Canis lupus familiaris: one gene and its partners. The protein of the gene in region 1 purifies or fractionates together with the protein of each later gene. This does not show direct contact. Links are inferred from orthologs where the notes say so. Each region holds a gene or a part of one and is shown in the gene's direction. Other genes may lie near its edges.

Region 1 (4,239 bases):
TGCAGGGAGCCCGATGCGGGACTCGATCCCGGGATTCCAGGACCGGGCCCTGGGCCAAAGGCAGGCATCAAACCGCTGAGCCGCCCAGGGATCCCTGGACTTATTTATTATTAAGATATTTATTTATTGGGGCGCCTGAGTGACTCAGTGGTTGAGTGTTTGCCTTCAGCTCAGGTCGTGATCCCCAGGTCCTGGAATGGAGTCCTGCATTGGGCCCCCTGCATGGAGCCTGCTCCTCCCTCTGTCTGTGTCTCTGCCTCTCTGTGTATCTCTCATGAATAAATAAATAAAATCTTAAAAAAAAAGATATTTATTTGTTATTAGAGAGAGCACACGAGCAGGGGGGAGGGGTGGGGAGAAGGAGAGGGAGAAGCCGACTTCACACTGCTCATGTTGAGCAGGGAGCCCAACACAAAGCTCTTTCCCAGGACCCTGAGATCATAACCTGAGCTGAAGTCAGATGCTTAACTGACTGAGCCACCCAGGAGCCTCAATTTATTTAAGTAATTTCTACGCCCAAGGTGTGGCTCGAATCCACAACCTGGAGATCATCCCACACTCCATGGACTGAGCCAGCCAGGTGCTTCAAAGTATCAGACTTTATTATTAATTTAGTGGGAAGGTACTGGGGTTGTTTTTTGGTCCAATTCATGATCACTTTTCTTTTCTTTCTTTTTTTTAAGATTATGTATTTATATATTCATGAGAAACACAGAGAGAAATAGAGGCAGAGACACAGGCAGAAGGAGAAGCAGGCTCCGTACAGGCAGGGAGCCCCATGTGGGACTCGATCCCCAGAGCCCAGGATCACGCCCTCGGCCGGCCCAAGGCAGGCGCTAAACCGCCGAGCCACCACTGAGCCACCCAGGGATCCCCAATGATCATTTTTCAATTGAGATGTAATCTGCCTACTTAAGTGCAACGATCTTAACTGTCAAGTTTGATGCGTTGTTTTTTGTTTTTTGTTTAAGATTTTATTTTTAAGTAACCTCTATGCCCAATGTAGGGCTTGAACTCACAACCCTGTTAACAAGAGCTGCATGCCCTACTGACTGCCAGGCCCCCACCTGTGTAACCCACCCCCCTAGAAGAAGATAGGAAACATTCCTATCACCCCAGAAAGGTCCCGCCTGCTCCTTTCCAGATAAATCTCCCGCTTCCAGGGTCCTGAAGGGGTCTAAGCAAACTGTGCCGGCTTTTGAGAGGATCCCTCTGGCCGGGCGCAGCGCACCGCCCCGCCCGGGACGGAGAGGAAGAGCGACAGCCCCGCCGGGCAGGTGAGGTCGGGATCGCGCCCACGTTGCCTAGCAACCAGGAAGCGCGGTCGAAGGGCGGCCGGCTCCGCGGGGGCCCACGGGGAGGCCCCGCCCTACGTCGCGCCGCGTCGCGTTGGGGGGCGGGCAGAGGCTTCTTATTGGTCTGTTCTCCGGAAGCGACGGGATTCGGAATCTCGCCCGAAGTCGGCTGCGCGTGGGAGCGCGGTGCATGGCGGCGCGTGGCGCGTGGCGGGACCGGGTCGTGCGGCGGGTGCTCGCGCTCTCTCGCTGGAGCGAGGGCGTCTCCTGCTGAGCCTCAGTTTCCTCAGTTTGCAGAGGCTGCACACGCCCCGCACGGGGTACCCGGCGCCGCACCGCGCAGCCCCTCCGCCGGCCTGGGTGTGTGCGTGGGGGGCGCTCAGCGGCGGGGACGCGCCCGAGGGGGTTCGGGAACGCCCACCGCCCCACACGGCGCGTGACTGAGCCTCCCGCCCCCAGGGCCCCGGCGCAGGCGCGATGTTCGTCCTGGTGGAGATGGTGGACACCGTGCGGATCCCCCCGTGGCAGTTTGAGAGGAAGCTCAACGACTCCATTGCCGAGGAGCTGAACAAAAAGTTGGCCAACAAGGTACCGGGGGCCCACGGGGTCGCTGACAGGCCCTGGCACGGGAGGCCCAGCGCTGCCCTCCTGCCCGCTGCAGGCCTCCCCGGTCACGCCAAACCCTGGCCTTGGACAAGTAGCTTAACTTCTCCGAGCTCAGTTACTTCACCTGCACGTGGGATGTTGGAGTCAAAACAGAAACTGGGGAAATGCCAGATTGCACCCTGTTGGATTACCCGCTCTGGGCCTCAGCTTCCATTTGTAAAATGGAAATAATGATGGCTGTCACACACTGTGTCTGTGAAGATGGACAGTGGTTTAGAGTTAACCATCATTAAGGGGCCCCTGGGTGGCTCCGTCCCTGAAGGATCGGCCTTCAGCTCCTGATCGCAGGGTCTTGGGATTGAGCCCCACATTCAGCTCCCTGCTCAGTGAGGTGTCTGCTTCTCCCTCTCCTCCCTGCTCATGCTCTCTTGCGCTGTCTCTGTCTCGCAAATAAATAGAGTTAACCATCAGGAGATTTATTCTTTTCTTTTTTTTTAAGATTTTGTTTATTAATTCATGAGAGACACAGAGGTAGAGGGAGAAGCAGGCTCCATGCAAGGAGCGCACGCGTTCTCTCTCTCTGTTAAATATATCTTTTTTTTTAAGATTTTATTTATTGATTCATGATAGACACAGAAAGAGGCAGAGACACAGGCAGAGGGAGGAGAAGCAGGCTCTATGCAAGGAACCCGATGTGGGACTCGATCCCAGGAATCTGGGATCATGCCCTGAGCCAAAGGCAGACGCTCAACCACTGAGCCACTCAGGTGTCCCAATAAATATATATATTTTTTAAAATGAAGATTTTGGGATGCCTGACTAAACTGCTCAGCAATTTAGCGCCTGCCTTTGGCCCAGGGCGTGATCCTGGAGTCCTGGGATCCAGTCCCACATCGGGCTCCCTGCAGGGAGCTTGCTTCCCCCTCTGCCTGTGTCTCTGCCTCTTTCTCTCTCTCTCTCTTTCTGTGTCTCATGAATAAATAAATAAAATCTTTTTAAAAAATGAAGATTTTATTTATTTGAAAGAGAAAAAGAGAGAGAAAGCACAAGCACGGTGGGGGGCAGAGGGGGAGGGAGAAGCACTCTGCTGAGCAGGGAGCCTGACTTGGGACTCAATCCTAGGACCCTGGGATCATGACCTGAGCTCAAAGCAGATGCTTCACCAACAGAGCTACCCAGGTACCCTGGGGATTCATTTTTGAGAGTGGGAAAGGGCTGTGCAGAGAGAAGAGTTGGGCAGGCAAAGGAAACTGCATGTGTAAAGGCCCTGTGGCAGGAGGGAATATTTCATCCATCATAACCTGGAGGAGGACTGGTGTGGCCTGGAGAGGAAGAGAGGAGAGTAAGCTGGAAAGGTGGCAGGAGCCAAACCACATGGGGCCTGCAGGATGTCATGGCAGTATTGATTTCCATCTGTAGAATAGCAGGAGGTGATAGGCTGAGAAGGAGCAAGAGGAAGGTTGGCTGGCTTTAGACAGGAGGCCAGTCCCTTCTGTAGATAGAGGCTGAGATCATGGAAGGGAGTTGTTTGCAGCTGTTGGTGGAGAGAACTCATGAAGTCCTTAGTGATTGGCTTCCAGTTACGTTGTGAGGTAGAAGGTAGAGGGGGTCAGTGGAGGGATGAAGTGTGAGCATAGTGGTGACAGAAGGTGTGAAAAGTCCAAGAAGGTAAAAAAAGTAAAAAAAAAAAAAAAAAAAAAAAAAAACTGTTTAAAAAAAAGGGGATCCCTGGGTGGCTCAGCGGTTTAGCGCCTGCCTTTGGCCCAGGGTGCGATCCTGGAGTCCCGGGATCGAGTCCCACATCGGGCTCCTGGCATGGAGCCTGCTTCTCCCTCCTCCTGTGTTTCTGCCTCTCTCTCTCTGTGTCTATCATAAATAAATAAATTAAAAAAAAAAAAGCTGTTAAAAGTCCAAGAAGGGAATGTAGCCCTTTGGGGTATGGGTCCTTCAGGGACCTGTTCAGACGAGTCTTTTATATTAGAATCATTTGAGAGGAAGCTGCACAGAAGAGGTCTGTGGTCTGGCCAAGGGCACAGATCTTTTTTTTTTTTTTTTTTTTTAAGATTTTATTTATTTAATTATGAGAGACACACAAAGAGAGGCGGAGACACAGGCAGAGGGAGAAGCAGGCTCCATGCAGGTACCCAATGTGGGACACGATCCCATCCAGGCCTCCCAAGGGCACAGATCTTGTGCAAGGCAGCCAGGCTCTGTGGCTCATTGTGGTGAGGTCCGGCCCGGACTTGGAGTTCTCTGAGCTTCTTGCTAATCCTTGAACAGTCCTGCAGGGTGTGTATTGGGAGGTGATGACACTGGTGGCAGGTAAGCAGGCTGGTGA
Region 2 (4,216 bases), on another chromosome or scaffold:
TCTCCTAAATCCTGGAAATTTCTTGAAAGTAGATTTTATTTAAAAAGGCAGAAATGGGGATCCCTGGGTGGCCCAGCGGTTGAGCACCTGCCTTCAGTCCAGGGCGTGACCCTGGGGTCCCGGGATCGAGTCCCTGCACCGGGCTCCCTGCATTGGAGCTTGCTTCTCCATCTGCCTGTGTCTCTGCCTCTCTAACTCTCAAGAATAAATAAATGTTAAAAAAAAAAGGAAAAAAAAAAAAAAAAGCCAGGTATGTCTTAAGAGATACTCATCTTAGTGTTCCAAAATTTCGAATGGTGCCGCAACATCCGTACAAGAAGTTTGAAACCAATTTCCTAACACTTTGAAATGTAAAGCCTAGTTGATTTTATTTAATAAAAACACCTTACCTATTTGCCTGTGTTTTGCTTTCTAAAAACCTACCACAAAACCGTCAAGAGACAGACGATCAGAAGATGACCAGGAGACCTATAGTAATAAACAGAGCGGGGGGACAACCTTTCACAAGACACCTGACTTCGCGCGAACAGGGACCCCAGTCCCCGCGGTCACCTTCTCTGGACGGCCAGGTCAACAGCAGGACCCGCCACGGGGTCGAGGCAGGGCTGCCACCATCATCTCCCAACCCAAAGCCGCACCTGTTCAGAAAGGCGTAACCACCTTTTTTTTTTTTTTTTTTTTTTTTTTTTTTAAGGTGCAACGTGTAAAAACATCTAGGTGCTGCTGCTGCTGGGGGCAACGAACGGGGTTAGAGATTGGAAGTCAATGAAAGGTAAACAAAACTAAAAAAAAATTTTTTTTTGAGAAATCAATTAAAGTCATTTATATGGGTCGCCCGTTATATCTTAAAGCAGGGCCCCAGGATAAGAGCAAGGAAGAGTTTAAAGCTCTTTCCAAAATTTATAGCTCGGTCTGACGGCTGCAGGGGCTGCAGGGGCTGCAGGGGCTGCAGGGGCTGCAGGGGCTGCAGGGGCTGCAGGGGCTGCAGGGGCTGCAGGGGCTGCAGGGGCTGCAGGGGCCGGAGACCCGGAGGGCGGAGCTGAACCCAGGGAGGCTCCCCGGCCTGACTTCGCGGAGAAACACCGCGAGAAGAAGCATCGCGATATTTCACTCCCTCCTCCCAACTAGAAACCCATCTCCTCGGTGGTGCAAAGCCCGACGCGCTGATACAGACGCTAACTACCTCGGCACAAATGCACGGGACTCCTCACCTGCGGAGCACCAGGGCCCCCAGGGTGAGGAATCCGAGCCAGGAAGGCTGGCCGAGGCTCCTCGCCCTCATCCCAAAATGCATCCCCTTCCAGCTCGCCTCGGCCCAGCTACCTCCCTTCTACACACGCCAGCCCTGGGGCCCGCTGCGAGGTGTGGAGGGCATTGCGGCCTCCTCATTACCGACCTCAGAGCTAAACTCATTTTCTCTTCGGACAGAGACGTTCCCCTCGAGAACGACTTTAACGCCCTGCCCAAGGCAGCACGACTTCCACAAGCCGTTCAACAGACACCAACGACCTCAGCGGCCTCAAGGACCTCCCACAAGGTAGACGCTTCGGAGTCGGATTGGTTGACGTTGCTAACAGCCCGCCCATTGAGGCGGAAGCGTCCCTGGTCCTCTGCTCTCATTGGGCGTGCTTCGCGTCAATCAAAGAAGCCGCTCGTCCCTCTTCTTCTGCCCCTCCTCCCCGCCCTTTATTGGCTTGTTGAGGTTTCCCGGAATCCTTTGCGGAGCGAGGGTCCAGGTGTCTGCGTGGTAGTTTGGGCGGTAGGTGGCTGCACCTTGCCTCCCGCTGGGTGACCGCCGACGAGATGGACGGCTCCGGGGGAGAAGGGAGGGAGGGAGGAGAGGCGCGCCGCGGGGCCAGCCTCCTTAGCCGAAGGGAGGGAGCGGCTGGGGAATGAGGCCTGCCGAATTTGACTGCGCTGTGTTCTAAAACCTTGGGTGGCCTGAGTCCATGGGGAGTTTGTTTAAAACGCAGATTTAAACGTCCCGTCCTCCCAATTCTGATTTTAGTAGGTATGAATTTGCATTTTTTTCCCCCTTACAATCCCACGTGCTTTTAAGGCAGGTGCTGTCGCTTATAGATTGTATATCTAATGGGTTGGATTATTAGGCTACTTACGGTAAAGCGGCACTTGACGGTACCTTAGCTCCCTTCTCCCTCCCTGAAGGGATCTGTTCTCTTGCATCCTTTGTTTTACAGGGTTGGAAGCTGCTTATACACGTTATATTATCTTAAGCTCCAAACTAAGTTCTTGAAGCTCACCTGGGTAATTTGTTTACTTGTTCATCACTCCTACTAGGCTTTCTTCAAGTGCAGGATGGTATCTTTCATTTAACGCGGATCCCAGTGCCTGATACGGTGCCTGATGCACAGGCGCTCAATGAATATTTGTTGCGTTGGGTGGGATCTTGCTGTGAAAACCCACAAATCACTGAACTAAGTTGTAACCCTTATAAAGGAGTGAAATAGCCTGAATATGGCGTTGAGGCAGGGTAAGGGGGAAGATGTATAAACACTATGGGCTATGTATAAAGGATATATATATATATATATATATATCCTCAACATATATATGTTTATATATGTTTTTATATATGTTTATATATAAATATGTTTATACGTATAAACATGTTTATATATTTAATACACATGTTTATGTTGGGATCCCTGGGTGGCGCAGCGGTTTGGCGCCTGCCTTTGGCCCAGGGCACGATCCTGGAGACCCGGGATCGAATCCCATGTCGGGCTCCCGGTGCATGGAGCCTGCTTCTCCCTCTGCCTATGTCTCTGCCTCTCTCTGTGTGTGACTATCATAAATAAATAAATATATATATATATGTTTATGTATATATTTATATATGTGTTTAGGTATATATTTTTATTATATAAACATATATATATATATATGTTTAAAGAAGGGAGAGAACCAGTAGGACAGAAGAAAGTCTTCTTGAAGGATTTGGCCTATATGTTAGGCTTAGAAGGATGAACTAAATTTGGACAGGTAAAACTAGTATGATGGTGTAACTCTAAAAATTAAAGGTTAAAGGAAACCCCCCCCCAAAAAAAAAAAAAAACAAAATTAGAACACCTAACCTTTTAAAGTATTTCTATAAATCACTGTTGACTCGAAAAGGAAAGGTAATATTGCCACTAATACGGTTTTTGGTAGTTTAAAAGGAAGGTTGGGGCACCTGGCTGGATAAGTCTGTAGGGCATGCATCTCTCGATATCTGGGTTGTGAGTTCAAGCCCCACGTTGGGCATAAAGCTTATTTTAAAAAAATAACAAGAGGGAGGTTTACAAATTATTAAAGTACTTTATACGACTTCATGCTGCCAATGAATTTTAATATTGAAATGAAATAGTCACTTTCCAAGGGAAACAGATGACTCAAAAAAGATAGAAAACTGAATTAGGTCGATAACTATAGATAGAACTGAATGATAGGATGATGCCACAATTCCATGCTGTAAAATAAAAAGGCGTCCAACCCACTCAGAGTTCTGGGTGAGTTTAAAAATTCATGAGGAGCAGGCGCCTGGCTGGCTCAGTTGCAGGAGCATGCAACTCTTGATCTTGGGGTCGTGGATTCAAGCCCCACGTTGGCTGTAGAGATTACTTAAATAAAAAAGAAAAAAACACCAAACAACTTTGAATTCATAAAAATTCCCAAGGAACTAATTCTGGTGCTTTAAATTCAAAGTATGATGAAGAACTTAAATTTTGAAGCTTGCACAGAGAACATTTAAAGCATTTAATATCACTGACTGTATGCTCCATGATAAGAGGGTACATGTTGGGATGCCCGGGTGGCTTAGCAGTTAAGCGCCTGCTTTCGGCCCAGGTCGTGATCCTGGAGACTCAGGATTCAAGTCCCATGTCAGGCTTCCTGCATGGAGCCTGCTTCTCCCTCTGCCTGTGTCTCTGTCTCTGTCTCTGTCTCTCTCTTTCTCATGAATAAATAAACAAAATTTAAAAAAAGAGGGTGCATGTTACTCACCATTTTATAAGCTCATGTTTCATGTTCGCTATGAACATATGTGCAAAAATTTTAGATGTTGACAAAATCAATTTGGGATTGTCTTAAGGGAACATTTCACTATAACCAAATAGAGTTTATTTTTAAAATGCAAAGGGATGATTCAAAATACAAATCTGTATTAATTAATCATAATTCTGGATTAAGGAGATTAGCTAAACATCCAAAAAGAGAC
Region 3 (4,057 bases), on another chromosome or scaffold:
ACAATCAAGGGACTCAGGGAAGGCAGGGAGCGAGAGGGCTGGCAGGAAGAGGTCAAAGGAGAGGGAGCAGCTGTAGGAATGTCAGAAGAAGGGCGTATCCACCAGAGGGTGCAATGTGTGCAAAGGCCCTGGGGCTGCACTTTGCCTGCTGCGTTGGCTGCAGGAGGCCCCGGGGGAGGGGGGAGGGGAGGTCAGAGGCTGTCGTGGGGCAAGCCTGGGGCACACCTGGGAGGCCTCGTTGATTGCCTTGAAAAGCCGGGGTTTTCCTTTGCTGTTGCTGCATTTCAGCTGAGAGATGGGGGAGGGGGAGAGGAGGGAGAGGGCCACAGATGGGGGCTCACGTCGGCGCCTGCAGTTCTGAAGGTGGAGGGTTTGCAGTCGGACAGGATGGACAGGATGTGGAGAAGGGGCAGGACGGAGGAGCGGAGCTGCCGGCCCAGGGCGGACAGACTAGGGAGAAACGGGTGTAGACGGCAGATAAGAAAAAACGGGCTGGCGGAGGGGGTGCCTGGGGGGCTCCGTTGCTTAGGCTTTTTTTTTTAATTCTCGAGAGACAGAGACAGAGAGACAGAGAGAGAAAGAGAGAGAGAGAGAGGCAGAGACACAGGCAGAGGGAGAAGCAGGCTCCACGCAGGGAGCCCGACGTGGGACTCCAGGTCTCCAGGGTCACGCCCTGGGCTGCAGGCGGTGCTAAACCGCTGAGCCACCCGGGCTGCCTTTCTTTTTTTTTTTTTTTTTTTTAAGACTATTTACTCCTGAGAACCGCTGGGGGAGAGGCAGGCTCCTGCGGGACCCGATGCGGGACTCGAGCCCACGATGCGGGGATCACACCCCGAGCGGACGCTCAGCCACGGAGCCACCCGGGCGACCCGAGGCTGCTGCGCAGTAAGGCGGCGGCGACGCCCAGCAGCGGGATGCGTACCTGGTGGGGGGCCTGACAACATGCCCTGCGCCCCGGGGAGGCGAGCTGACCGCTGACCCCACCCTGGCCTCAGTTTCCCCGCCCACACCTCGCCTCCGCCCTTCCGGATTCCAAACTCCCCACCCACACGGGCATCGGGCGGAAACCACAACTCCCGACAGGCCCCGCGGCCGAAACCCCGCGACAACTGCCGAGGCGAGAGTGGGCGGTCCCGTTCGCTCGGCTCTGGCTCCGCCCACCGCCGCTCGCAGAAGGCCCGGGCTGCCCTCGGCGCTGCCGCCCGCGAAGGTCTCTGGAGTCCGGCGTTCGCTGTGGGCAGCCCCGCGCGGGGCTTGGCAGGGCTCGGCGCAGGCGCAGTCAGCGCGGGCCCCTGCCGCGGGCTCAGGCGCGCGGGTTGCGAGCGGCGGCCGCCATGGACGACGAGGAGGAGACGTACCGGCTGTGGAAGATCCGCAAGACCATCATGCAGGTGAGCCCGCGCGGTCAGGGCGGCGGCGGGCGCAGCTCGGAGCTTCCGGGCGCGCTCGGCGGGTGCGTCCCGGCCTCTGCGGCCCCTTCCTGTGCGGTCCCCACGCGCTCGGAGGCGCCGGGCCGCGGCCCTGTCCGTCCTTCTCCGCGGTGACGTCATCCGGCCGCGCCCCTCCCGCCCCGCCCTCTGAGCCCGGGGGTCACCCGGCTGGTGCTCCCTGCAGCTGTGCCACGACCGCGGCTACCTGGTGACGCAGGATGAGCTGGACCAGACGCTGGAAGAGTTCAAGGCCCAGTTTGGGGACAAGCCGAGCGAGGGGCGGCCCCGGCGCACGGACCTCACGGTGCTGGTGGCCCACAACGACGACCCCACCGACCAGATGTTTGTCTTCTTTCCAGGTGAGGGTCGCGTGGGTCCTGGGTGGCTGCGTGACCCCTAGGAGTCCGCAGCCCTCGTGCAGCCATCCAGGGACGGTGTCTACACCCGCCCTCCCGAGTGCCCAGCCTGCTGCGCACGGTGCCACGGGGTGCTGATGGGAGCCCTGGGTTCTGTTCCCCGCTGACTGTTCGTTCAGTGCAGCCGGATTGTCGCAGGCCTCCCGGGGGGCCCAGCCCCCTGCCCAGAAGCAAGGGCGTCGGAAACCTTTGCAGGAGGGACCCTCCTGGTGCTCGTGCAAACAGCGTCCCCGTGTGTGGGTCGGCCTGTGGCAGGGCCCTCCCTGGAGTGGGCCCGGGGCGCCCGTGTGCTCCAGTGGGCCACAGAATGGGACTGAGCGGCCGTGCTGGTCCACCTGGACCGCCGCGACTGGGCGCCGCAGACCGGGCGGCTTCAGCAGCAGCCTGACCTCTTCCGGGGCTGCAGGCAGGACGTCTGAGACCAGGGTGTGCACGGGGCTGGGTCCCCCTGAGGCCTCTCCCTGGCGTGCCGGTGGCCGTCTTCTCCATGAGTTCCCGAGGTCGTGCCTCTGTGTGTCTGTGCTGTTGTGTCTGACTGAGGTCCATCCTGACAACCTGGTGGAATCTCCTCTTTAAAGACCTCAGTTCCAAGTACGGTTGCACCCGAGGTCTCGGGGGTTAGGATTGTAACACGGGGATTCCGTGGGAAACAGCTCAGTCCCTGACGCTGCCCGTCAGGTGAGCAAGGGTCCGAGGGGAGTGCTGTGATGGGGCAGATGTGGTGCACCACACGCACCCGTCCTGGCAGCAGGCACCCAGTTGCTCACCTTCCACCAGGCTCAGAGGGTCCCGCAGGTCTTGGCCCCTGTACTGTGGTGAGCGTGAGGGTTCCCACCGTGGCTGTGCAGGGAGGGGGTTTGGTCCTTCAGGTCAGCTGCTTCATCTGGGGATTCCAGACATTGCACCACGTAGGTCCCCAGATTCAGCTTCCAGGGAGGGATCCACCAAGTGGGTAGATGCAGGGCACCCATCAGCTCCGTGGGGGCTGGGGGGGAGGACTGGCACCCTGGTGGGTTCCCTGGGGCCCTAGAAAGAGGGAGCTGGTCCAGAGAGGCACTGCTACACCTTGGCAAGGTCAAGCTGGAGCCCGCGCGCCTAGCAGGGTGGAAGTGAACGAGCAGGTGAGTGAGCAGGGCCCTTGGGGCAGGAGGGACTCTTGCAGTGTAGACCTCGTGTGTTCTGTCCCCAGAGGAGCCTAAAGTGGGAATCAAGACCATCAAGGTGTATTGCCAGCGGATGCAGGAGGAGAACATCACCCGGGCCCTCATTGTGGTACAGCAGGGCATGACTCCCTCCGCCAAGCAGGTGGGCACGCTGCTCGTGTTGGCCGCACGTCCTCATGGGCCCCAGGATCTGGGGATCTGAGAAGGAGCGGCTCTCCCGTGTGGGCAGAAGCCAGAGCAGGGAGGTGCCCTGCATGGGTGCCAGCATTCCTGTGGTTAACAGGTCCGAGGAGGGGCTGCTGTTTGGGACGGAGGGCCAGCTCTGTGCGCTCGTCCCTGCAGGGTTCTCTACGTCACACCAGCACAGGGACAACTGCAGGAGCATTTTGTTAGGTGTCACAGTTTGTGTCGGGTGGTCTCTTCCTCCCAGAGGAGCCTTACTGACCTGACACGTGGGAACCCCCTTTGGCTCCCACCTGCCCTCAGCCCCTGGGAGAGGTGGGGTGGCGGCGTCTTGGGCCTTGGCTGTGCGTGAGGGTCAGCCTCTCTTTCAGTCCCTGGTTGACATGGCCCCCAAGTACATCCTGGAGCAGTTTCTGCAGCAGGAGCTACTCATCAACATCACGGAGCACGAGGTGAGGGCCTTAGTGGGGGTCTGCGGGAGGGGAGGCTGGACGGCTGGTGAGGTGGCACCTGCCCGAGCACAGGGAGGGCCTGGGGACGCACCAGGTGCCGCTGCTCCCACTTTGTGGGGAGGAGGAAGCAGAGCCGGAGTCTCAGTGAGGCCCTGGGCACTTGCCAGGTGTGCAGTCAGGCAGCTGGGGGGCAGGGGGTGGGGTCTGTCCAGGGGCCCCTGCACTCTCCAGGTTATACCCCCCCAGGCGCCTGCAGGCCATAGCTCCTTCCCCCCAGGCGTGGAGTCAGGAGCAGGGTGGGGTGGCAGCTGGGACCCTTGGGTGGATGGTTGACTCCAAGGAAACAGCCTGTGGCGCTCTGCTCCCCTTTCCCGTGTGGGGGCGCCGTGGGGCCTGTCACACCCACAGACTCA
Region 4 (2,260 bases), on another chromosome or scaffold:
GCAGGAATCTTCAGTTAGAAAAAGCTCAGGTGGGCTGCAGTCCAGGTATGTGTGCATGCTAGCCAGACCATGTGACCCCCTGACTCTTCCCTGGTAGTTCATCGATGACCCTGGGCTGAGGAATGACACTCGAAACATGCCTGTGCAGCTGCCGCTGGCTCACTCAGGGTGGCTCTTTAAGGAAGAGAATGAAGAGCCAGATGTTAAACCTTGGCTGGCTGGCCCCAAGGAAGAGGACATGGAGGTGGATGTACCTGTTGTGAAAGGTACTCTGTCCATTAACGTCTCCTCTCCTTCCCTGTGGCTGCCCCCCAGGAATCCTCTCTAGGAATGAATCTCCCAGACTCATAAGCGGGTCCTCCCCCATTCCAGTTGTGAAGTACATGACCTGAACAGGGACACTAAATTCTCATTCTCAGAAAGTTCATGCTGACATGGATCCGTGGGCCTAGCCTCAGATACTCCTTTTTGATAAGCCACACAACTCCTGGACCCTTCTTCATACCAGTGCTTCCCTCCTGCTTCATGGTTGAGTGACAATGAAGCAGATGGGAATGAAGGGATGGGTACTGCAAGATGGCTACTTCATAGCTCTTCCATTTATGTTTCCTTGGGCAGTGAAAGAGGAGCCCCGAGATGAGGAGGAGGAGGCCAAGATGAAGGCTCCTCCCAGAACAGCCAGAAAGACCCCGGGCCTCCCAAAGGACATATCTGTGGCAGAGTTGCTCAGGGAGCTGAGCCTGACCCAGGAGGAAGAGCTGCTATTCCTTCAACTGCCAGACACGCTCCCTGGCCAGCCACCTACTCAGGACATCAAGCCTATCAAGACAGAGGTGCAGACTGAGGATGGGCAGATGGTGGTCATAAAGCAGGAGAAAGACCGGGTATGTGCATGGATGAGTTCTGTGGAAGCACTGAGGGGGCCAGGAAAGGAAACAGCCATCTGTTGCGGAGCAAAGGGGTGCCACCCAAGCTGAAATGCCAGAATAATACGCATTCATTCCACCCACAAGGTGCTTGAGGCTTTGTACTTCAACCCCTGTTACGTATTTTTACTTTTTACAATGAAATATTTAGTGTATACACAGATGAGAGAACATGAATTCTCATGTACCATCACTCAGCGTCAGCAGTAATAAATATTTTGTCTATTTGTCCATTTGTTTGCTTTGGGTTTTGTTGTTTGGCCAATGGCAGGCAACTGTGAAGAAAGGCCCTCTTAGGGAGCTCATTCTAATCTTTGCTGCTGACCTCTTCCTTTGGAAACGGTATCATTCATGCAGGCTGGAGGAAGAAGCTCCTTATCTTGTTTCCATCTTCTGATTCTCTTCGCAGGAAGCCAGGCTGGCAGAGAATGCTTGTACCCTGGCTGACTTGACAGAGGGTCAGGTTGGCAAGCTGCTCATCCGCAAGTCAGGAAAGGTGCAGCTCCTCCTGGGCAAGGTGACTCTAGATGTGACGATGGGAACCGCCTGCTCCTTCCTGCAGGTGAGAGCCTGTGGGGTCATGGTAGGGGCTCTTTAAGAGGTAAGGAGTGCTGAGGAGTCCATGCTAACTAAGGGAGAAGCATTCTTGGGATTCTCCTAAATCATAGGGCTGAGGAATGGGCTGTATGGTTTTGGTTCTCATTGCTGTTTCTGTTGATTGGCAGGAGCTGGTATCCGTGGGCCTTGGCGACAGTAGGACCGGTGAGATGACAGTCCTGGGACACATAAAGCACAAACTTGTATGTTCCCCTGATTTTGAGTCCCTCTTGGATCACAAACACCGGTAAAATGAGCAGATGGAGGATGATGGTGACTGTGCCCACGGCTGCCTGCTCCAGACGTTTTGTTCTCAAATCTGTGCGACCCAGAAGGGGCCTGTTTAGCCCACCCACTCCAGCCTTTGGCAGCCATTGTCCCAGTTTTCCCCACAGGGCCCACATGGCTTCCTCCCACGGCAGCTGTGAATGGCACCGTGGCCTTCCCACAGCATGGATCCTGCACATCCTTGCTGCTGGGGGACTTGTCCCTTCTATTTATTTTTATATTTATGTCTTATCTCTTCGAGTGACTGCACCCTCCCCAGGTAGAGAGGGGAGGGTCTATGGAAAAGTCCAGGCTCCTCCTGTCTTGCTGACTGTCTTGTTCTCAGGGTAGGAAGCGTAAGGACTGCTGCTGCTTTTACTCCTTCCTCTTTCCCAAGAAGCAGTGTTGGAGAGAGAGCTGGGAATTTTGAGTCTGGGACTCAGTGCTCAATCCCAGCTCCATCAGTTACT
Region 5 (3,500 bases), on another chromosome or scaffold:
AATAGCTTATCCAAATGGAGGGAGGGAAGAAGCACAGAGATCCTTAGCCAGCTCTTAGTAAATTATTAGACAAAAATTGGCAACAAAAATGAGCTATGACTTCAGATCTTTTCTTTCTTTCTTTTGCGTCCTATCTAGGTAAAAAAAGCCCTCTGTGTGCTTATCCAACATAACCTGGTGATATATCAAGTGCACAAACGTGGTGTAGTGGAGTATGAAGCCCAGTGCAGCCGCGTATTGCGAATGCTTAGGTATCCCCGGTACATCTATACTGCCAAAACACTGTACAGTGACACCGGAGAACTCATTGTTGAGGAGCTGCTATTGAATGGCAAAATGACAATGTCAGCTGTTGTGAAGAAAGTGGCAGACCGGCTCACAGAGACTATGGAGGGTTAGTACTGTACTCATAGCTGTTAGCAAAAGCGTAGATTGGCTGGCTGCAGGACTGGAACTTCAGCTAACTTAGGCAATCTCATCTGCCACTTTCATCCTGTTGTACAGATGGCAAGACCATGGACTATGCTGAGGTATCAAACACATTTGTGCGACTAGCAGACACACACTTTGTACAGCGTTGCCCCTGGGTGCCTGCCACTGAGAATTCAGACCCAGGGCCACTGCCACCTGCCCCCATTCTTGTGATCAGTGAAAAGGACATGTACCTGGTTCCAAAACTGAGCTTGATCGGTAAGGAATTTTGACCCCTGAAACTATGATTTGCCCTGGTTGTGGATTCTTCTTCAAAGATTGTTAAATTAGTGAATGAATCGATCAAGCAGTTACCAAATATTTACTCTATGCCAGATACTGTGGTGTAAAATGAAAAAACAAGTCCCTGACCTTTTGGGGCTTAAGACTAATATAAAAAAGACTTGAGTTACATTACTCAAATAATCAGATAGATGTATAACTAAGAAACTGATTAGTACTATGAATGAAAAGTATGAGATGTTATGAAAATATGTAACAGGGAACCAAATTTTTCAGGATTTAGAGCACACGCTTCTCTGAGAAAGTAGCAGTTGAGCTAAGATTTGAAACAGAAGCAGGAACTAACCAGTGAGGTAATGTATGAAGGAGTACAGAGGATAAATATTTTTACAAAAGGAATAGTGTACAATGAGAAAAAAATAGGATATTTGAGGAAGTAAAAGATGGGTCAGTGTAATTAAGGCATGGTGAGCAAAGAGAGCCATGAGATGAGGATAGAAAGATAGGGGCTAGATCATACAAGACGTTATACAGACAGCATCTGTTCTTTATCCTAAGAGCAAAGGAAAACTACTAAAGGATTTAAAGGAAGTGACATGATCTAATTTGCATTTTTAAAAGATTTTCCTGCTTGTAGATAGGATAGGGCAAAGGTAAAATGTAGACAAACCCAGTGAAAAATTAGATACAGAAAGGGTAAAGGAGACAGAAGTACTAAATGACATTTGTGTGTCTGACTTGCATGTGGGGGGAGGATGAATGGTCCTACTCACTGAAAGGAAGCGTTTGGAACAGGAACAGTTTGAGGTAGAAAGATTAGAACTTTCTTTTTTGAATATGTTGAGCTTCAAATGACTTCATCATTACTTCGAATTTCTTGGAGCTCCTCAGCCTCCCCAGCCACTTTAACCTAGAGGCAGCTGGAGATGTCTTGGGATAGAGGGAAACCTGCTCTCAGATTCAGTGATTTCCTGTCTTCATATGAGATGTAGCATAACTGTTTGCCTGTTTTATTTATCAGGGAAAGGTAAAAGGAGAAGATCATCTGATGAAGATGCTGCTGGGGAGCCCAAGGCCAAGAGACCAAAACACAACACAGATAACAAAGAGGTAATGGGGCTTAGGGGTCCTCACCCTAAGGCAAGGCAGAAAGATAACAAAGGTAACAGGCCCCAAGAGATTTACAAGGTCCTTGATTGAGAAGTAGTAGGATTAGGGATCCCTGGGTAGCACAGCGGTTTAGCACCTGCCTTTGGCCCACGGCGTGATCCTGGAGACCCGGGATCCAATCCCACGTCGGGCTCCGGGTGCATGGAGCCTGCTTTTCCCTCTGCCTATGTCTCTGCCTCTCTCTCTCTTTCTCTCTCTCTCTCTCTCTGTGTGTGACTATCATAAATAAATAAATAAACATTTAAAAAAAAAGATTTATAAAAAAAAAAAAGTAGTAGGATTAGTAGGATTATGAACTTCATTCAATATTGACCAAGAATGAACTAACAAAGTGTAAACTCCATTACTTTCTCCTTTCTGAGGCTTCATCATTAAACAGAGGTCAGATCTTATGCCAAAAAAGGGCCTTCTGTTTTCTCTCTGAAATAAGAGGCAAGGTCATGTGCTGAGAGTGGGAAGAGAGGGGTAAATAGAAAATTTAAGGATACTGGAGAAGAGTTCAGATAGAGAAAGATTAGGTAAATTCAGAGGTGAGTTTAAGGGATGCCTGGGTGGCTCAGTGGTTGAGCGGCTGCCTTTGGCTCAGGGCATGATTCTGGAGTTCTGGGATTGAGTCCTGCATCAGGCTCCCTGCATGGAGCCTGCTTCTCCCTCTGTCTACGTCTCTGCCTCTCTCTCTGTGTCTCTCATGAATGAATGAATGAATGAATGAATGAATGAATAAATAAATAGAGGTGAGTTTAGAGAATCTGAATTGGGTATTGTAAATTTGTGTCATCAAGGCCCTGATCCACATGATTGAATGATTTTTTTTTTTCCACCCCACGTGGTTGCTACTGAATAGGAAAAAAAATAGTGAACAGTTAAATCCAAGCTCCTCGCCAGAAAACTCTTCCCCATATTCACGGTATCTAAATGTTTCTCTCTAATCCTTTTCTCCTCCTCAGCCCATTCCAGATGATGGGATTTATTGGCAGGCCAACCTTGACAGATTCCATCAGCACTTCCGTGACCAAGCCATTGTCAGTGCAGTTGCCAACAGGATGGACCAGGTGGTATCTAAGTGGGTGGGACGGTGTCCCAAATCAGGAGCATTCACTTATTTGCCAGATGTAGCCATTGGCATATAGCCAGAGTCAGCACAGTGGAGTGAATTCTGAATTGTAGTTCACTTTTCAAACCCAGACCAGCAGTGAGATCGTGCGGACTATGCTTCGGATGAGTGAGATTACTACTCCCTCTACTGCCCCCTTCACCCAGCCGTTGTCTTCCAATGAGGTGATCTTCATGTTCTTGTACTACTTTTCTAACAGACTGCGGATGTGATGATTCTTATACACAGAGCCTGGGATTAGGTTGAGATCTGAGCCTTTGAAAGAGTTTTTATTGTTTGAGGTGGGACAGGGATTCTCTTCAAGTGTTAGGTACTGAAATATTGGTCTCTGGGGATCCATCCTTAAAAAACCTAAACCATTCTCCTAGCCAAAGTACAGCTATTCCCAGTTGTTCTAAGAATCCACTATCTGGAATCTGAGAACCTTTGTTGGTACTCAGAACATCATTTGGCTTCTTGTATTGCTTTTGTTCAGTATACTAGTTTTATGTATCTTAAATTT
Region 6 (3,500 bases), on another chromosome or scaffold:
TAAAGTGTCTCTTCTAGTATGTAGTATTTCTCCTCCTCATCCTATCCCACCCCTATTACCTCCTTCAGGGATTTCCATTCAGAGCTGGATCCATCAGGGACACCAGCTACTGACCCCATTAACCTAGGCAGCAGAGGAGCTGAGATTCCCCTAAACTAAAGTTTGTTTGTTTGTTTTTGTTTTTATTTTTATTTTTATTTTTATTTTTGATAGTCACACAGAGAGAGAGAAAGAGAGGCAGAGACACAGGCAGAGGGAGAAGCAGGCTCCATGCACCGGGAGCCCGATGTGGGATTCGATCCCGGGTCTCCAGGATCGCGCCCTGGGCCAAAGGCAGGCGCTATACCGCTGCGCCACCCAGGGATCCCAAAACTAAAGTTTGTTTGAATGCGGATTTCAGCAAATAAGATTTTGATATTCATTTATCAAATGATATTTTTGCCTTAACACTCCTTTATTTATTTATTTTAAAGACTTATTAAGGAGCACCTGGGTGGCTCATGGTTGAGCATCTGCCATTGACTCAGTTTGTGATCCTGGGGTCTTGGGATCAAGTCCCACATCAGGCTTCCCAGAGGGAGCCTGCTTCTCCTTCTGCCTATGTCTCTGCCTCTCTCTGTGTGTCTCTCATCAATAAATAAATAAAATCCTTAAAAATAAATAAAGGTTTTATTTATATTTAGAGAGAGAGAGAGAGCACAAGCACAGGAAGGGGCAGAGGGAGAGAATCTCAAGCCGACTCCATTCTGGACATGGACCCCAGTGCAAGGCTCAGTCTCACAACTCTTAGATCATTACCTGAGCCAAAATCAATAGCTGATGCTTCCAGCTGCACCACCCAGGCATCCCCCCTCCCTTATTTAGAATATTATCTACCCTCTGCATTTTTAATGGATAATTTCAAATATATACAAAAGTAGAAAAAATAATGAGTCCCCACACACTGAACACCTAGCTTCACTTTGCCAATCTTTCATCTCCATCTTTATTTTTAATAACAGCTTTATTGAGATAACTGACATACCAGAAAATTCATCTGTTTAAATTGTATAGTTTGGCAGTTTTTAGTATACTGACAGAGACATGCAACCATCACACTATTCTAATTCACACATTTTCATCACCTCTGAAATGTGACCCCACTAGGAGTCACTCCCCAGCCTTCCTGCCCGTAGGCCCTGACAACCACTGATGTAGTTTCTGTCTCTATAGATCTACGTATTCTGGACATTCCATATAAACTGTATCATACAATATATGGTCTTTTGTATTAGGCTTTTTTTATTCACATGATGTTTTCAAGTTTTCAAACTAAAGTAGTTTTAGATTATAGCCCAGTATAAAATAAATACTCATGAGTCCATATGGAAATGTTTAAATAAATAAATGATTCCAAAAATTCCTTAGTGAAGAGTATAGTAGTTTTGGCTTTTCAGTGGGTGAGACACAAAGAGTTAGCTGGGGTGGCTTAGTCAGGCCAATTTCCACTCAGGGTCACGAGATTAAGCCCTGCATCATACTCCACACTCAGTGAGGAGTCTGCTTGCCCTTGTCCCTCCCTTTGCTTGCTCTTTCTCTCTCTGTCAAAAGTAAATTTAAAAGATCTTTTAAAAAATAAATAAATGACATCTTCCCACGAGTAGATTGAGGCAAAATAGACAAACTTCCTGTGCAGAAGAATTCTAGGTAATTTAGGTGGATGGACACTCTACCCTCAAAGAAGTGGAATATAACTCCCACTCCTTAAGTGTGGGCTGAGCATGGTGATGTCCTTCCACATATGGAAAGACTAGGGAAAAAATGTCAGTTTATGATGGAGAAAACGGAGAAGCACTACTTCAAGCCATCTGATCAAGGTTAACCTCAATACTGAGAAGTCTTATCAGTAGTGATCAGTTATCACTTGGTGATCGAACGCCCTTGACAGGATGTGATGAGAAGGGCACTTCTCCGTGGTCTTTCTCCTAGAGTAGTCATAAGAAAAACATCAGGCAGGTCCCAGTCAAGAGATATCCTATAGAATACCTGACCAGTCATCCTCAGTACTGGCAAGTTATCAAAAGCAAGGAGAGTCTGAGAATTTGCCAATGGAACAGGACAAGTAAGTGTAATATGGTATCCTGAATAGGTTCTTGGACCAGAAAAAGGATATTAGGGAAAAACTAAAGAAACGTCAATGAAGTATAGACTTTAGTTAATAATGATATATCAATATTAGTTCATTAACTGTAATAAATGCAACCTACTAATGTAAGATGTTAAGAGGGGAAACTAAGCACAAGGTAAATGTACCATCTTTACACTAATTGTGTAAATCTAAAACTGCTCTAAAATAAAAGGTTTGAGGGGTGCCTGGGTGGCTCAGTCAGATAAGCATATGAGTCTTGATCTCAGCTCAGGTCATGATGTCAGAGTCATGAGATAGAGCCCAGAGTCAGGTTCCATGCTGGGTGTGGCACTGGTTAAGAGTCTCTTCCTCCCCATCTCCTTGCCCCTCACCCACCCCAGCTCAAAAGAAAGTAAAAAAATATATATATATAAAAAGTTTTGAGAGTTTCTTTAAATCTTAGTTTTGAAAGACTTGGTTACCTTTTTTTTTTTTTTTTAAGATTTTTAAATTTATTTTTACAGAAAGAGCGTGCATGTGCACCAGGGGTAGGGGAGGGGCAGAGGGAGAGAAGGAGACTCTTAGCAGGCTCCACACCCAGCAAGGAGCTAGACGCAGGGCTTGAACTCACAACCCTGAGACCAAGAGTCGAACACTTAACCGACTGAGCCACCCAGGTGCCCCTGCAAGACATGTTTATCTTATAACCACATCTGCTGTTAATGTTTTTTCCTAGGCCTCAAAAAAGAAAGTATATATGCTTTATAACTTGCAGCCGGACCGGTCTGTGACTGGTGGAGCCTGGTACAGTGACCAGGATTTTGAATCAGAATTTGTAGAGGTGCTTAACCAACAGTGTTTTAAATTCCTACAAACCAAGGTGAGGCATAATTAAGGAAACATCACTGCAAATTTTTTTTTAAAGTTACTTCATAAAGAATGTTTAATCTTGTATATCATATTTCACATAGGACATGAAAATACTCAAACCAGTAATTTTCACTAAACAATATATTCTGTTGATTTCACACTATATAAACTGTGTTCAGAAAATGCTAGTGTTCTTATTGAGATATATTTCTACCCTAAAAGGCAGAAACAGCTCGAGAAAGCAAACAGAATCCAATGATACAAAGAAATAGTTCATTTGCCTCATCACATGAAGTGTGGAAGTACATTTGTGAATTGGGGATCAGTAAGGTAAGAGCTCAATTTTTAATTTTCATCTTATTTTTTAAAAGTTACTCTTCATCATAGGGATATAGTTTACAATGTATTCTAAACATATTTGACCCAGACCCCTTTTCCAGGTGATACCTATGAACCTTCTGCAGAACCCATTTAGACAGGTGACTGTCATGCCATCAGGCACTGTGTGATCTGTGTGAACTTA
Region 7 (3,500 bases), on another chromosome or scaffold:
CTCCCTATGCCCCTCTCCTCAGCTCCTCCTCTCATGCTCTCTCTCCCTCTCAAACAAATAAATTCTTTTAAAAATACATAACTTATGTAAAAATCTTTATTTTAAAAGTATAATGATTTTGCTGAAATCAGGGCAAGAAAATAAATTTTATGGAATAAATACATATGAATGTTTGTCTTTCTGTATCTTTCTGTATTCATCAATATTACCAACTCATAAACAGTTCTCACTGTGTGCAGTAAGTTAATACCGTCACCTCTGGTATTTTGCTGACTTCCAGTCATTTTAAAAAACAGCTTTACACATGTTTTTTATTTTTATTGTAATGAAGGTATATTTATCATGGTAGGAGGAATGAATTTTTTATTTAATAGTTTTTAGCTTATTTTAATACTTGTAAATATTAAGAAATATGGTCTGTGGGACTTTATTTGTCCTTTGGTGGGCCTAAGAGAAAAGAGTGGTAGTAACATCTACTAATATGGAGCAAACAGGAAATCAGGAAAGTCCTGCAGAGAAGGTAACACGTGATCTGGATGTCTGGTGACAAGTATGTGGCTGGACTGCAGAGCAGTTTAGACAGAGAATGTGGCCTCCACCGTGCATGTAATGGCAGATAGAATGCTGGGGACACCTAGCCCAACTGGGCTCCTGGACTTGCAAAAAGCTAAGACCCAAGAATGTGGTAATCCCACGGGGCACATATTGTCTGGTGAGGTCTTGCAGACATAGGCCAGTAAGCCACCGCCGCAGTCTCCATTAGTATGCTCAGACTCCTAACGCTGAGTACTTTTATTTCAGAGTGCACTTAGCATCTCTACTAAGAGATGGAGTTTAGAGAATGTGAAAGGAGCAGAGTGAAGTGGGCTTTACTCATTCGCATAATGACTCAAAAGAATGATACCAGAAGCCGAACAAAGGTCATTTATCTCTGGTAGTCCACAAAGAGAAAAGTGTTTTCTAGATATGAAAGCTTGCTGAGATTTTCAAGCAGCCCTAGAGGATGAAAGACCTCCATCCAGACTGGCCAGATTCCAGCTGTCCCTCATTCTTAGCACTGACTTGGCGTCTTCAGTCCGCGTCTAGGCTTTCCCTTTATGGCCTGATACTTGATGCTACCGGGGCTGCGGTGCCAGGGCACTGCTGTTCCTGTCTGGCCACCACAGAAGATGGCCCAAGTTGCCCAGGGCCATTGGCTTATTTCATCGCATTTCTTTGCCCTGTGACACACGATCTCACTGTTGTGTCTTCACCATCCTTGTCTTGTGTTTTCCATCTCTCCCAGCATCTCCTCCTCCAGCTACAGATACAGCAGTTTTACTTGTAAATCTGTGCATCGTTGTCCTGTCCTACTCACACCCAGAATCCATTCATTGACCAGATCTCAACTGAGGACCTACCATGTGCCAGACGTAGGGAAAACTAGGGTGAAGAGGACCAGTCTACTGAGCTCTAGGTCAGATATATTGAGGCTCCCTCTCTACGTTCCCCTAAGTAATCCAATATTTCTTTTTCTTTCTTTCTTCTTCTTCTTTTTTTTTTTAGATTTATTTTTTTAGTGGAGAGATGGAGCCAGAGAGCACAAGCAAGGGGAATGAATGGCAGAGGGAGAGGGAGAAGTGGGGCCCCTGACCTGAGCCTAAGGCAGACGCTTAACTGACTGAGCCACCCAGGCACCCTCAATATTTATTTCTAATATATACATACAGGTCTTTATTTGATATACAGGGCCTACTATAAGCCTCTCCAGGGAAAGGCCTTGCTCACCATATAAATCATCATGCAGAGCATGTAAGAGAGATTGGCCAAATTTAACATCATCTTGAGAATTAACTTCTTGTGCTTTCATCTTTTATCTATAAATAATTATTTTCATATCCCAAATGATCTCAATGTCACTCTTGAGTTTTACCTTTAAAAACCTTTCCCACAATTTGAATTTTCTTACCTTTCTGTATAGCTGATAGGCGAACCCAGACAATTTGATGTTTTCTGAAATACAGATGGCCTAAATTTCTTCATCTGTGTCTATGATCAAATTACTGAATAATACAGAACCCATACTTTGTCATATGGTTTCTCCCAATCCACATGGTCACTCCACTGCTAATTACTGCTGAGTGGTTATGAGCCTGTAGGCAGATGTCCAGCAGTGATCTGAGTCATCTGTCCCTGGTTTTTTTTTTTTTAATCAGAATGTTCTGTGGTCTGACATCAAATCCTTACTTAAGATCAAGTAAATTGTTCCATTTTTTTTTCTTCAAAACATCACTCCATGGAAAGACATTGAGTTTTTTTAAAATTTTGCCCAGTGCCCTGCTGTATGTGGATGGCTCGGGGATGAACTGGTGGCCTGCAGCATGGATGATGATACGCTGGGTCTGGCAGGGGCCTCCTGGTCAGCAGCAGCCTGTCATTGCACTCCTTTGTGCCCAATTTCCAAGTCAGTGCTTGTCACCAAGTTATACTTGTTTAAACACAAGACCCTCAGCCTGTCTTCCATGACTTAATTGCCATATTTGAACCGCTTTTCCCATCCATGATGTGACAGATACTGTACATTTAGTTGGTCAAAGGTAACTTTTTTTTAGTAATTTTTTTTAAAGATTTTATTTATTTATTCATGACAGACACAGAGAGAAGGCAGAGACATAGGCAGAGGGAGAAGCAGGCTCCTCACAGGGAGCCCGATGTGGGAACTGATCCCAAAACTGCGGGATCATGCCCTGAGCCAAAGGCTGATGCTCAGCCGCTGAGCCACCCAGGTGTCCCATCTTTTCTTTCTTCTTCCTTTCTTCCTTCTTCCTTCCTTCCTTCCTTCCTTCCTTCCTTCCTTCAAGAAGGAAGGCCTGGACGGTATTTCAGGGAGTGGGGATGGGGAGGGCGTGCTTCGGTAGGGATTTAGGGTGGCTTTATTTAGGTTCTTTCTTCTTTTTTGTTTCGTTCTTTGTGGTGTTCTTTTTCTTTCTTGCTTCTTTCTTTCTTTCTTTCTTTCACTATAATTATACATATAGAAAAGTGCACAAATCCTAAGCATGCAGCCTGATAAGTAGTCAAGTGAATGTACCTATGAAACCAGCACTTCAATCACAAAACGGAACATTAGCACCACAGCAGCTGCCTTGTACTAATTCATCAGACTCTGTCTTTTTTCCCCTCTGTGTCTTTTTTGTACAACTATTTGACGTGTAGCTTTTCTGATTTGATTCTTTGAAAGATCTCATTTTCTCATGTTCTCCATTATTTAATTTGCCAATTCTCAATTTGTGGTTTGATTTCAGGTACATTGGTTTTCATGCTACCCTTTCTGTATACTGATGGAGCCAGTTAGCTCTCGGTTGATTTCTGTGAGTAAAAAGAAACATAAGACCCAGATGACTCCAAACTAATTTGCTTGACTCTGGAATTTAAGATGATTTTGACCAGATTTGCATTCCCACTTGGGTTCTATTTCAGCTGCTATTATCATCCGTTAACATTCCTTCAGCATGTACCAGCTG

Evidence for each region.
Region 2: the proteins of POLR3H (region 1) and POLR3G purify together in Homo sapiens (affinity purification with mass spectrometry; 5 studies listed by BioGRID and IntAct, with this or other methods). This does not show direct contact. The link is inferred for Canis lupus familiaris from reciprocal best matches to the Homo sapiens genes POLR3H and POLR3G.
Region 3: the proteins of POLR3H (region 1) and POLR2E purify together in Homo sapiens (affinity purification with mass spectrometry; 6 studies listed by BioGRID and IntAct, counting the BioPlex papers as one, with this or other methods). This does not show direct contact. The link is inferred for Canis lupus familiaris from reciprocal best matches to the Homo sapiens genes POLR3H and POLR2E.
Region 4: the proteins of POLR3H (region 1) and POLR3D purify together in Homo sapiens (affinity purification with mass spectrometry; 6 studies listed by BioGRID and IntAct, counting the BioPlex papers as one, with this or other methods). This does not show direct contact. The link is inferred for Canis lupus familiaris from reciprocal best matches to the Homo sapiens genes POLR3H and POLR3D.
Region 5: the proteins of POLR3H (region 1) and POLR3C purify together in Homo sapiens (affinity purification with mass spectrometry; 5 studies listed by BioGRID and IntAct, with this or other methods). This does not show direct contact. The link is inferred for Canis lupus familiaris from reciprocal best matches to the Homo sapiens genes POLR3H and POLR3C.
Region 6: the proteins of POLR3H (region 1) and POLR3F purify together in Homo sapiens (affinity purification with mass spectrometry; 4 studies listed by BioGRID and IntAct, with this or other methods). This does not show direct contact. The link is inferred for Canis lupus familiaris from reciprocal best matches to the Homo sapiens genes POLR3H and POLR3F.
Region 7: the proteins of POLR3H (region 1) and POLR1D purify together in Homo sapiens (affinity purification with mass spectrometry; 6 studies listed by BioGRID and IntAct, with this or other methods). This does not show direct contact. The link is inferred for Canis lupus familiaris from reciprocal best matches to the Homo sapiens genes POLR3H and POLR1D.

Annotation. Positions count from the first base shown.
Region 1 is NC_049231.1:24,684,225-24,688,463, forward strand, and holds the start of POLR3H (DNA-directed RNA polymerase III subunit RPC8), read left to right. Parts: upstream 1-1,439; 5' UTR 1,440-1,655; intron 1,656-1,754; 5' UTR 1,755-1,772; coding exon 1,773-1,883; intron 1,884-4,239.
Region 2 is NC_049224.1:18,660,493-18,664,708, reverse strand, and holds the start of POLR3G (DNA-directed RNA polymerase III subunit RPC7), read left to right. Parts: upstream 1-1,416; 5' UTR 1,417-1,537; exon of another isoform or gene 1,538-1,553; intron 1,554-4,216. Other genes in the region: CETN3 (centrin-3), read right to left, coding at 1,397-1,413. UniProt on the Homo sapiens protein: DNA-dependent RNA polymerase catalyzes the transcription of DNA into RNA using the four ribonucleoside triphosphates as substrates.
Region 3 is NC_049241.1:58,128,573-58,132,629, forward strand, and holds the start of POLR2E (DNA-directed RNA polymerases I, II, and III subunit RPABC1), read left to right. Parts: upstream 1-1,257; 5' UTR 1,258-1,334; coding exon 1,335-1,391; intron 1,392-1,614; coding exon 1,615-1,789; intron 1,790-3,035; coding exon 3,036-3,151; intron 3,152-3,563; coding exon 3,564-3,644; intron 3,645-4,057. UniProt on the Homo sapiens protein: DNA-dependent RNA polymerase catalyzes the transcription of DNA into RNA using the four ribonucleoside triphosphates as substrates.
Region 4 is NC_049246.1:35,178,361-35,180,620, reverse strand, and holds part of POLR3D (DNA-directed RNA polymerase III subunit RPC4), read left to right. Parts: intron 1-97; coding exon 98-266; intron 267-618; coding exon 619-884; intron 885-1,335; coding exon 1,336-1,488; intron 1,489-1,651; coding exon 1,652-1,774; 3' UTR 1,775-2,260. UniProt on the Homo sapiens protein: DNA-dependent RNA polymerase catalyzes the transcription of DNA into RNA using the four ribonucleoside triphosphates as substrates.
Region 5 is NC_049238.1:59,294,372-59,297,871, forward strand, and holds part of POLR3C (DNA-directed RNA polymerase III subunit RPC3), read left to right. Parts: intron 1-138; coding exon 139-394; intron 395-504; coding exon 505-690; intron 691-1,735; coding exon 1,736-1,824; intron 1,825-2,831; coding exon 2,832-2,936; intron 2,937-3,069; coding exon 3,070-3,162; intron 3,163-3,500. UniProt on the Homo sapiens protein: DNA-dependent RNA polymerase catalyzes the transcription of DNA into RNA using the four ribonucleoside triphosphates as substrates.
Region 6 is NC_049245.1:5,108,282-5,111,781, reverse strand, and holds part of POLR3F (DNA-directed RNA polymerase III subunit RPC6), read left to right. Parts: intron 1-2,843; coding exon 2,844-2,987; intron 2,988-3,199; coding exon 3,200-3,307; intron 3,308-3,500. UniProt on the Homo sapiens protein: DNA-dependent RNA polymerase catalyzes the transcription of DNA into RNA using the four ribonucleoside triphosphates as substrates.
Region 7 is NC_049246.1:12,035,176-12,038,675, reverse strand, and holds part of POLR1D (protein POLR1D), read left to right. Parts: intron 1-1,285; coding exon 1,286-1,456; intron 1,457-3,500.